2 linked regions of the Caenorhabditis elegans genome follow. The protein of the gene in region 1 interacts with the protein of each later gene in a biochemical or structural test. Each region holds a gene or a part of one and is shown in the gene's direction. Other genes may lie near its edges.

Region 1 (6,948 bases):
GTATTAAATATAAGGGGTTTTCATGTCAATTTGATTCTAAAAACTCATAAATATTTTCGAAATATTAAAGACAAGCTTCACGTAACTGCAAAGGATAAGAAAGACGAAATGGTTCAAGCTGGTGCAAGTGAGATTGATCCTCAACAATGGACTGGAAATCAAAGAGTTCTTCATTTTGGACCAATGGCTCAACGTGATCCATATTTCTATTATTATCCAAAAGGATGGGATATATTGTATCCAGCAACATTTGGATTTTTTCCATATAGAACATCGTTAGTTTTTTGATAATTGAAACTGTAAGCTGGAAATATGAGGGTTGAATAGCTCAACTAAATAACTCGTAGATTATAATTTAATGGAGTATGTCCTAATACATCATATTCAACGCGAAAATTCAACAGAGACGCAGAAAATATACATCAAGTTACTTTATCAAAAATTTAAAAAAAAACCCTGAAAAAAGCATTATTTTTTAAAGAAAATTTCGTGGCTCGTCATCATTGATTTGTTGTACAGCATTCGGCGTTTTTCTCCTAATTGGAGGACTACTAATGTCACTTCTTGGATATAAATACCTTTATACTTCACCATTCTGGACTTGGCCATACGAACAAAGAATACGACCACCACCAATTCAAATTGCGGGTCCTATTTTATTTGGACTCGGATGTTCGTTTTTGATAATTTCATTAATCTACTTTTTATGCACAACAAAGCTCTGTGATCTCTCGTTACACCACACAAAGAAGCACAATGATCCTGCTAGGCTTACGACTATTACAACACATTATGTGGTAAGTCTTTTTGATTAATTGAAAATTCAAATTCAATTAGAAACCCACATGTCCTTGTAAAAGTTGCGACTACACCTTTGAAAATTTCATGAAAGTAATATAAACAATTAAAGCTAACAAATTAACGTCTAAACAAACTCAAAATGATCGTACCATAATTTAAAAAAAACTATTAAAACATTTTAGATTTCTGAAAATGGCATAGTTTTGGTAAATTGCCAAATTAACCGAAACAGCAATGTGTTTGAAACCTTACAAGGCTTAGATACAGTTCACTAGAACGAAGAATGTAGGTAATAATGCGTATCAATTCAAAATCAAAATGTACCCATTTTAGTTGTTACACGTTTACAGCCGCTACCTCCGATCTTTGAGAAAGATCCATATCAACCTCTACCTCCACCTGCGTACCCAGTTCTTGAGAATCGACACGCAATGTCTAATGTAGTTAAGCCACACGATGAAAAGAAACTGTATCCACCAGTGTAAGAACTTCATTCAAACCGGAACAAGATTCTGTAAATCTATAATTTCAGAATTCCTGGATGTTCCACACTTTCCCTTCATAGACGATCTCCGAATAACATTTTTGTAGCAAGTCCATATAATACCCTAAGAGCTACAAGCGTTGGAAGATATCAATCTGGATTCCTTGACACGAATTCAATAATGGAAAATCGGTTAGGATCAAGGCAGCCGTCAGTTGCAAGTAGAAGACAATCAAGTGAAGCTTCAAGTCAAAAAAGATCCAAATCAATGGGACCTTTACATCGAACTAACTCCAATCGAAGCAAAGGATCAGGAAGATCAAGAAGGAGAGAAAATAGTCAAATATAGACATTGTTTTATGATGTTAACCAGATTTATATTGTTTTTTTTTAATTTCAAAATTCTGTATCCACAAAGATCAACCGAAAAGGAGATGAATAATTTGTAGATATTTTAAAATATTTATCTACAATAATATTTTCCATCAACCAAATAAAAAATTCGACCTTCGCCCTTTGTATGTCTTCCTCTCGTTTCCCATTTTTCACTGCGTCTCAATCGCTGCTGACTCATATCTGATTGACCTCACTGTTTCTTCCAATTTCCTTGGTCACTGATAATTATACTTCCGTCTTTTTTCAGTTTTCTCCAGTATTTTTATCATAACATATACTCAAAATCAATCAATACAGGAACGTCTAGTCTACAACTTTATTATAATAACAGGTGAGATATTTTGTTTTTGGTAAACTTCATAATAGTGGAGCGCTGAACAAAAGACGAATTTTCTGATAATTTAAAATTGAAATGAAATATATTATTTACCCTTTATAATTAACTTTGTTTGAACCTAAATATTGCTCATATTCGAACAAACACTGTACACTTTTTTACGAAATTCAAAGAGACGCTACTCAGTAAATAAACAAGAAAATATAAAACAAACTGTAGTGCTCATCTCAATTTAACTGAGCTCACAAGTATTTCACCGATTTTATTAATTACAATTGATTGAGCACCCGAATCTTTTACATAATTTCATGGTAGTTTTGCACCTTTTTTGCATAATTCCTCTTATGGGTCTCGCCATCAGAAAAAGTTCTGAGAATTTTTTATGATCCCTCCATTCCACAATTAATGAAAAAATATTTTGAAAATTTCACAAAAATAGACAAAAACGAATAACATTTAAATCTGACTCTTTGAGACCCAATTCAAAAATATCCATGTGTCTTTAAGTACGCGTTACAAAAATTGCGAGAGAACAATTACTAACAGTTCAAATGTAAATAGATATTGTTAGTAATTGCCAAAACTATGGGAAATTCTTCTATTTAATCTTCATTGATTGAGTTGATTTTTTTGTTGATAAATTCAAAATTCCTAATATTTTCTAAAATATCGAATTTCCTAAAGTTATAGTGAATCCGAAAACCTCCAAAAGAAAACAAAGTAGTGACCATAAACAATAAAAAAATCATTGTTTCACAATTTTTACACTTCACTCCGCAAAAATATAGGTCGCTTGAGTGTTCGAGTTTACATGGCGTGTTTCGCAATAAAACTTTCATTTTGAAATCCCCGACACTCCTCTAATTTCCCCCGACAACGCTTTTCGTTATTGATTTTTTCACTTCAAGCCCTAACTTGAACCCATTTAAATTTACAGATGGCGTCAGTCCCATCGTCATCTAGTCTCCCAGTGTCGCATGTCCGTCGTCATGAAGACGTGTCAACACCAAGTGCACCACCAACCAAACGAAGTAATAATCAATCTCAACCTCCAGAAAGCTACGAACCCAACACCTGGTTGCAACAACAACGAGAGCAGGAACAACAGAAAAAGTTAGCTGCAGAGAATATTAAGAAGCAGAGTATCGAAGCAACGGGAAACAACGAGATGGTTGGGGAGGAGGAAGAGGTGAGGGAGAAAGATTTTAGATTTCGTAAGTTGACGAAAGTCAATCCGCGCGTTTTGTTGATATGCGGAGAATCATAAAAATGATAAAGGTAAAGCTTCAGTATGACTTTAATCTAAGAAATCGACCTTAATACTCTAAAAAGGATGGAAATAAAACATTCCATAATTAATTTTTTTATAATTGTCAAAGTTTCAAAACTAGCTTAATATTTGTAGAATTGACTAGAATTGACATTTTCAGAAGAATCTAACCCCGCGCACGCATAGCTCATTTTTTGAGAAGTTTTTTCTACAAAAATTGCAACACAAAATTATTGCGCCGTCTTATTTCCAAATGATAAAATTGGCACGTGTACTAGAGACCAAACCAAATAGGAAACTGGCTATGTAATGCCTCAGAAATTTAGCTTTACAGAAATAAACATTGTTGACAATATTGCAACCATAGGTATTCCAAAATCTTAATCATCATTATATTTTCAGGATATTCTCTCAAAACCATGTGGTCCACACAAACGACGATTCCAATTTGTGATGATCCGTAACATTACATTTGCAATTCCGGAAGGCTATGACGTCGAGCCAAACAGCATTGAGTATTTGGGTGGAGGCTCGTTTGGAAATGTTATGTATGTTTTTCAGTATTTGTGTGCTTTATTTGAATGATTATATTTTCCAGAAAAACAAGTGCAGTGTGCCGTGACGGGCTTCGTCGTTATGTTGCAATAAAGAAGATGCGAGAACCGTTCTTTGATCCACATCATGTAAGACAAAGATACATTTTTATTGAAGCTAGAGCATATTTTTTACAATTCAAATGAACTAATATCGTATTAAAAATTTTCGAACTTTTTCTATGTACAGTCAAGAAGTGGTGATTCAAAATTTTGGGGCAAAACCAGAATTTTAAAACTAATCTTGTTTTCTGTTTTCGTCTTTTTTTTTGTTGGAAAATTGCCAAAACTTTAGAAGAACATTTCAAAAAGCTGATATTTGGTTTTTATACCCATTTTTGAGAATATATTTGGTCGATCACATCCTTTGAACACCTTAAACTTCCAGGCTCGTCGCATCTTCCGTGAAACAAAACTTCTTCAATTAATGAGACATGACAATATCATCTGTGCTCTTGACATCTACACACCTGACGAGGAAAACGATTTTCGAGATGTGTAAGTAATTACAAAAAAGTTTTACAAACAATCTATAATTTTCAGATACGTTGTCACTGAATTTGCGGGTCGTAGTCTTTATCAGATCTTGAAGCAACAAAGAGATTATGGACGGCGCGTGCTGACCGACGAGCATATCAAATTCATCATTTATCAAATCATACGTGCACTTAAGTACATTCATTCTGCTAATGTAAGTCAATGGAGTTAGTGAACAGAACATTGCTCATTCTTTTTTTTTTAATAGAAATATCAGCATTTTAGATTAAATAAAATTTCATATAGGAGGATTAGGCACGATTAGGCCATAATTAGTCAAAAAGAACATGACTAAAACACGAAAATATATTTATTAAAATTTTTTAGATTATACATCGTGACTTGAAACCAGGAAATCTCGCGTTGACCGATGATTCTGACCTCATGATTCTCGATTTTGGACTTGCAAGATCCTTGGAAAAGAAAGATACTTCTCTAACACAATATGTACAAACAAGATGGTACCGTAGTCCAGAAGTCATTTATTGGAAGATTGATAGTTACACAAATCTGGCAGATATGTGGTCACTTGGATGTATTGCTGCAGAACTTTTAACTGGAGAACCACTGTTTCCGGGTGATGAGCCCAATGCTCAATATCAACGTATTACTCAATTATGTGGAAGTCCTGATGAAGAACTTTTGACAAAGATTGAAAATGATAACTCGTCTGCAATTAAAGCCGTAATTCAATCCTACACAACTCACAAACGTCGAAATTTCCGTGATGTATTTTCTGCTCATAATCCATCAGAAGACTTTATTGATCTACTTGAGAAGCTTTTAGTTTTGGATCCAGAGAAGAGGATTACGGTGGAAGAAGCTATTCAACATCCATATTTGGCAGAGTTTTCACTTCCAGAAGATGAACCAAGAGCTGATCATATATTTGACTTGGATGACTCTCAAGCTAGAACAAGATTCGAGTGGAGAGGTAAGGCTCAAAGATCACGTAATAGAATTCTGCACACCTGCAAATTTGAAAAACAACAAATGCAAAAATATTTTATTACAGATGCCGTCTGGAAGGAAATAATGAACTACAAAAGACTCAGCTCATCACCGTTAATCCCTGGAGAAGCAGATCGCTGATTTCATTCAATTATATTAATTGTATATAATTCCGGAAATGTATTACTTCTTTTCCCTCTCTCTTTCTCGTCTCTTTGTCGTTCAGTGATAGCAACACTTTACAGGTGATAATGATGTTTTCCATCTTCTCTTTCAAATTCTTTCAGAGTATTTATTTTCTTGCATTCTATAGCTTCTTCCTTTTATGTCTCTGTCTCCTTCTCTCTTTCTCTTTACTTCTCCATTTCTCTGAATCTCTTTGTCTCGTTTTTCTCTCATGCTTTTATCCCATCATATTTTTTTATATTCGTCATTCTTGTCATTGCACCCTTACACATACTAATTAGTTCAATAAACTTATTTTCTTTTGACAATTCGTTTTAAAAGCTTGAAGTGTTTTATAAAAAAGAGATTGGTTCTAATCCGTGTCACTCATATTTTACACGAGCTTATATGTTTAAAGTGAGATTATCTGAAAATTTCTGGAATTTTTTTAATATAAAAAGCATAGTTTGACTTGACAAAGTTAATCCTGAACTTCAGCTTAAAACGTTTATTCAATTAGCAGAAAAATTCAAACATTTAAAAAATGTGAAATAAGATTGAATTATTATTTTGGAATACCTATGTAGGCAATTGTCTGCCCTTTTTCGAAATATTAAAACTTTCGTGCAAAAATGTAAAAATTATATTTACAAATTCAATTCAAACTTTTTCTAGATGTCTTGTTGATGGGGATGTCGGCGACCATGGGCGATTCAGCCAGCATTCCCGGTGTCTTTTTTGCCGATTTTGGTCCTGCCCCGCCTGAGATTACTCCAGAAGGATATCATGAGGTATAGTTACAGAAGAAGATTTTTTATAGTGTAGTGAATATTGTCTAAATATACTAGAATGAGCTAAAAGAAATTTTGCAAATTACAAAAACCCAATGAGTTAATTTTAGATTATTCATCATTTTTAGTCAAAGTTTTGGAAAATTTCCAAATTTGCGGACTATTTGAAAAAAAAATTAAGATTTTTTTAATCACTTGAACAAAAATGATTTTATAACGAAAGTCAGGAGAGATTTTTTTTGGTCGGCTTCCAAAATTTTTTTTTTGAATTCCTTTTTTTTTTTTGAATTCTTTAAAAAAATCCAATGTTTTCTTAAAAGTAAAACACAATTACTCATTTTTTGCACTATGGAAGTATTTTTTAATCATCTTCTCCCTGTTGCGCTACTCCATTTTTACAGTTGCCAAAATAAAAATAACTACAAAATTCACGAAGATCATAGGATATGAGACATAATGTGATGGTGATATCATTGGAAATAAATATAAATTGTCAAAAACTATAAATCTATAAATTCATAATAAAAAAAAACTATAAATTCAACTACATATTTTCCTTTTTTATTTCATTGCAATTTTTAGTTAGATTATTTGTAGGTCGAACTAAACAAAACGAAATGGGT
Region 2 (4,838 bases), on another chromosome or scaffold:
TTTATAATTCCAATATTTATTTTTTTGTATGAACCTTACCGTATATTAGTTTGTTTGCTAATATCCAAATTTACAAAAGGCTGTTTTTCGGCCAATCTTAAATTTTGATAGTTTGATGGAAAACACTTATTTTTACTAAAATAATCGAAAACGTAACCTGGAAAACGCTACACCGTCTTTAACTTAAGAAAAAAAAATATAACTAACTCATTTTATTTGATTAAAGTTGTTGATTCAATAATTTTGAAACAGTTTTCATTAATTCACTTTTCAAAGTGGGCAGACTCAAAGAATACCTCTTTTTCATGTGAAAAGCTAAAACTTCACTTGTTCCAATTTAAAAGTTCTAAGAAAATAACAGTTCTTCTTGACAATCCTAGATTCAAGTAAAGATACCTTTATCTAAAATTGAATTTCAATTTTCTCTCCTCTTTTTCCAATTTCATTCACTTTCCTTCCCATAGCCTGCATACTTTCACCGACTCGTTCCCGAACGATATGATCGTGCTAGCCACTCTCTCTTTCTCGTATCGAACTGCGATCTTTCAGTTCCCAACAAGAATACCATCATTTCAACACCTCACTTTCGCAATCAACTACCAAAAGTGCACTCTCACTCTGTTACTCTACCTAACCGTATTATCCGCTCTCCATGTAAAACTACTGAAGTAGACACAGCAAGGGACAGGCACACACTCACTGGTCATCAAAATCATCAAATGATGCAGTGAATTTGGCTGTTCTGGTTTGCAGACAAAAAAGTTTTGGAAGCGGTGCGGGAGGATAGTGGACACTGTTTGTGATTCACTTCTCGTCATTCTCCGAGCCTTACAAACAAACAAAAATAGCTCTCTCTTTTCGCTGACGATTGTCCCCCAACACGGGCGGCGGTTATTTTGGCTCTCGCCACTCTTTTTCAAGGTGCACAATCAAAAACAAACAAGTCCAGCCCGATTTCGCGAATTTGTTCATCTAGTTCAACGCATTTTTTTCATTTTGAATACATTTGCTTGTATCGTTTCCGAGTTTCTTGAACAATTACTTTCAGAATTGAGTATCATTTTTTGTGTTCAGCAGTGAAAAATAACCAAAATTTCTCTATCAGGCTTGCACTCACATTGGTCATATTTTACAGTCCTGACCTAGAGTGCGTTTATGAATTTTTCAAGACTTTTGTTTATCTAAACCTACCAATTTTTTCTTCGTTATCTTTTTCAACTTTATCTTTTAGCCGTATCTCATTATTCACTTTCCACCCAGTAGCTTCATCCTCTTGTCTTCCAATTCTCCGCAAAGTTCACCTACCCTTTTGTACTAGTGACCTGATGCGACGAATTCAACCATTGACCTCCTCCTCCTTCTCACACTTAGACACACATACATCCGTAACCCGAAGCAGCGAAAGTTAAGCATGAAAGCGAAAGGAAAGTGAAAACAATTAGGAAAAGTCGGCATCATCATGGATCGGAGGAGGCGACGCGTTGAAGTCGTTGCGAACGATGAAAAATGATTAGGAGACGGGTCGAAGAAAAAGAGAAGGGACTGCAATGAAGAGAGAAGGGGGCGAAAGTCGGAGGGGATATCCTGTTCTTCGACTGGTTTATTGTAGAGACTGAGAGTGAGAGGATCTACCAAGCATTGTCCGAAACATTGACCATGGCTAACTGGTTTGCAAGGCGCAAATAGGTCAACTGAGGAGAGGCACAACACCGCTTAATTGTTGCTAACTGCACTCTACACCTACCATATGAACACACCTGTACCAGATATACTTTGTTTTCTCACCTTTTTTTAAGTTAGTGATTTTCTGGTTGTCTAGATACTCAGGGATTAGCATTGCGTAAGATCATCTTCACTGAAACCAAAAACTGAATAATTTTTGTATACACATTGGTCAATTAAAATGGCTTACAATTAATTAATAATATCTGGAAACAGTGAACACATTGAACTTCTGATTGTGCTGAATCTCCAAAGATCGTGTCAATTTCAACTCAAAAAGACGTATTTGTCCTTACATCAAATAGGTTGACAGCTTCTTTTAACTCTACTAACTTTCCATTTCAATACACCATGTGTACTAACATTTTGAAGTCAAAATATAAATGTTGTGTCTTAATTCATTTTGAAAGATTTTGGTATTCATATTTCTTTCACCGATGTTCTTTTCTTTCAAATTTCGTACTTCTATATTCTTGATTTTCTTCTTTTGTTTGACTTTTAATCATCTTATTTTTATTTTTCAGATGGACGTCGACTCGGCATCATTGTCACCGTCCTCCAGACTTTCGGTGGTTTGTTCGGCATCCGCCGAGTTCTCATCGAGCTCGTCGGATTCGTCGAACTTTTCAGAAGGATCTCCCCCGGAATCTAGAAGGTTTGAATTTTTAACAGTTTGATGAAACTTTTGAAAGTTTAAATACTTTTCGACATTGATAACTATTTTTCCAGAAATTCCGTAAACGAAAGTGTAATAAAAGATGAACATTACTGGGAAAGGCGACGGAGAAATAACGATGCATCAAGAAGAAGTCGAGAAAAGCGAAGGCAAAACGATCTAGCAATGGAAGAAAAAATAATGTTACTTTCCGCCGAAAACGAACGGTTAAAATCTCAGTTAGGAACGACACCAATTCCACAACCATCAGTAACAGAGCCTCCAACATCTCTGATTATTCCCCAAGTTGCAAAGAATCTTTTCCCAGCGGGTCCAATAGCATCTTTGCAAGCGAGTTCAATGCTTACTGTTCCATTGCTCCAGGCAGCTTCGCATATTCCATCAATGTTGCAGCTTTGTCAACTACAGCCAACAACTATTCAGTCACCGGTAAGTTATTTTATTGAACTTGGAAATATCGAAATTGTGATGATTTAAATAAAATAAATTAACTCGTGGAAAAATATTTACTATTACAAAAACGTCTGAACCGCATATAAAGTTCCATTGTCATTTTTTGGCAACACAACTCAGATTGTCAACAATTTAATGAATACATTGACAGCTGAATGCGTGACCTAGAAAGACAGATGTCCCATAACGTTTTTCCATGTTTGTAGGTCTATGCGAGCACTCAACAACCTGCATCAACGTCAGCATCATCTTTATTCTCTTCATCGTCTTCATCTGCATTTCATCCTTTTCGACCATCAGAAAGTGCTCAGCAGAGTTTTCCATCGAGTAGCGTAATTGTGAAAATTGAACGAAGAAGTCCAGATTCATCAACTGACGTGAATATGCCTCAACCTCAGTTACAGCCTGGATCTAGCGTTATTCAACAAAGTAAGTCGTTGTTTTTGAAAGTAAAGAGCATATTTTCATTTCACTAGTATTAATTGAAACTATAATCTAAAATTTATTTCAGTCGGTCAGCCTGCTCCATCAGGTACGCCTCAACCAGTAATCCAAGCTGTTCAACAAGGACCATCCCTGCTATCTGCTCTTCTTTCACAGCGAAGACCTTCTCCTACAGTACCACAAAGCCGAACGGAACATATTTCGGGGCTAAATTCCCCTCCAAGACATACTGGAAACAAATCAGACTGTGAAAGTGTATCGTCTTCAGCATCTTTCTCTCCATCGCATTCTTCGGAAGATCACTCAAATTATTCGAACAAATCGGTAAGTTTTTTTAAAGGAATTGAAAGAAGACATTTTTAAATACATGTCAAATATTTCAAAAAAAAACTTTCAGCCCCAATATGTGGACAGACGTCGAAGGAACAATGAAGCCGCAAAAAGATGTAGAGCAAATAGACGAGCAGTATTCGAATACAGGTCACGACGAGTTCAGGTAAGTTGAAACTAATTTTAATAGAAAACATAAAATTTTAAAACTTAGATATAAATTTATTGAATCAATTATTACTTAACATTTTCAGCTCTTGGAAGGTGAAAATGAAGATCTTCGTACCCAAATCGAAACGCTAAAAGCAGAAATAGCCCACTTCAAATCAGTTTTGGCTCAAAGAGCATCAGTTGTTACTGCCCTTCACCCTTGATCCCATTCCATTTTCTTATTTTTGACTAATACGGATAGAAAGCCAATTTTCTTCGTCTTCTCGCTAGATGCCCCCCAATCAAAGTCTTTCGCTCTCAAAAAACCCTTCCTCTCTTTCTGCAATACTTCCAATCATTCATGTGCAATACTTTTTAACTTTAAATGTTTCATTAATTGTTTCTAATAAAACCAATGTGTTATTATTTTTGATTTGCTTCCTGTACAAAAAAAGGTGAAACAACAAAAAAAAGTAAAGTCTGCAAACGATTTTTAAAATCCACCCGTCGCTTGCCAGAAAACGGAAACTTTTCAGAATGATATAACTGAATCAGAAAATTGTTTTATTAATGTTTCATATATACAAATTATTATGAGAAAGTGAATTTAAAGTTGAGCATTGATAATTATTTGATTACTTTTCCATTAAACAGAACTTGTTTGCCCTTTTCGTTGATACTCCATGTAAATGTCATGTATACTTCTGAAAGGACATGAAATATAAAATATTTCCTAATTTTATGCAAATCTTGACCCACTTTTCCGTTTCGATGACGGCAACAGACGGTGGCGGAATGTCATAAATTGGCGCCTTTTTTGAATTACGATAAAAATAGAAGGCATTCAGGCCTAGATCCAGAAGTCCAAATACTAGAACCAAAAAGCAAAATACTGAAGCAACTTGGAATGTTCCAGTGGAAACTGATTGATAACATCCGTATTGAGTTATTGCTCGGGAGTCACAACCATCATTGGCAATTAAAAACAGAATTGCAGAGACGAGAATGGAAAGAGCAAAAACAAAAGTGAATAGACATCTCTGGAATTTTTTGACAGTACAAA

What was found. Proteins that work in one complex are often made in the same cells at the same time.
Region 2: of the proteins of pmk-3 (region 1) and atf-2, one has a biochemical effect on the other in vitro, tested with the Caenorhabditis elegans proteins (one study listed by BioGRID).

Annotation. Positions count from the first base shown.
Region 1 is NC_003282.8:8,137,291-8,144,238, forward strand, and holds pmk-3 (Mitogen-activated protein kinase pmk-3), read left to right. Parts: upstream 1-1,928; 5' UTR 1,929-2,012; intron 2,013-2,955; coding exon 2,956-3,207; intron 3,208-3,690; coding exon 3,691-3,836; intron 3,837-3,886; coding exon 3,887-3,971; intron 3,972-4,269; coding exon 4,270-4,379; intron 4,380-4,424; coding exon 4,425-4,572; intron 4,573-4,745; coding exon 4,746-5,352; intron 5,353-5,433; coding exon 5,434-5,510; 3' UTR 5,511-5,861; downstream 5,862-6,948. Other genes in the region: islo-1 (Interactor with SLO-1), read left to right, coding at 71-275, 482-797, 1,152-1,282, 1,334-1,634; Mitogen-activated protein kinase pmk-2, read left to right, coding at 6,221-6,325, 6,923-6,948. UniProt on the Caenorhabditis elegans protein: Responds to activation by environmental stress and pro-inflammatory cytokines by phosphorylating downstream targets. Involved in axon regeneration after injury, probably downstream of dlk-1 and mkk-4 and upstream of mak-2. May phosphorylate mak-2.
Region 2 is NC_003280.10:8,749,740-8,754,577, forward strand, and holds atf-2 (Transcription factor atf-2), read left to right. Parts: upstream 1-2,246; coding exon 2,247-2,377; intron 2,378-2,451; coding exon 2,452-2,827; intron 2,828-3,057; coding exon 3,058-3,280; intron 3,281-3,362; coding exon 3,363-3,619; intron 3,620-3,692; coding exon 3,693-3,791; intron 3,792-3,879; coding exon 3,880-3,999; 3' UTR 4,000-4,194; downstream 4,195-4,838. Other genes in the region: K08F8.7 (MARVEL domain-containing protein), read right to left, coding at 4,422-4,479, 4,535-4,815. UniProt on the Caenorhabditis elegans protein: Acts as a transcription factor that recognizes and binds to the sequence 5'-[GA]TTA[CT]GTAA[CT]-3', a sequence present in many promoters.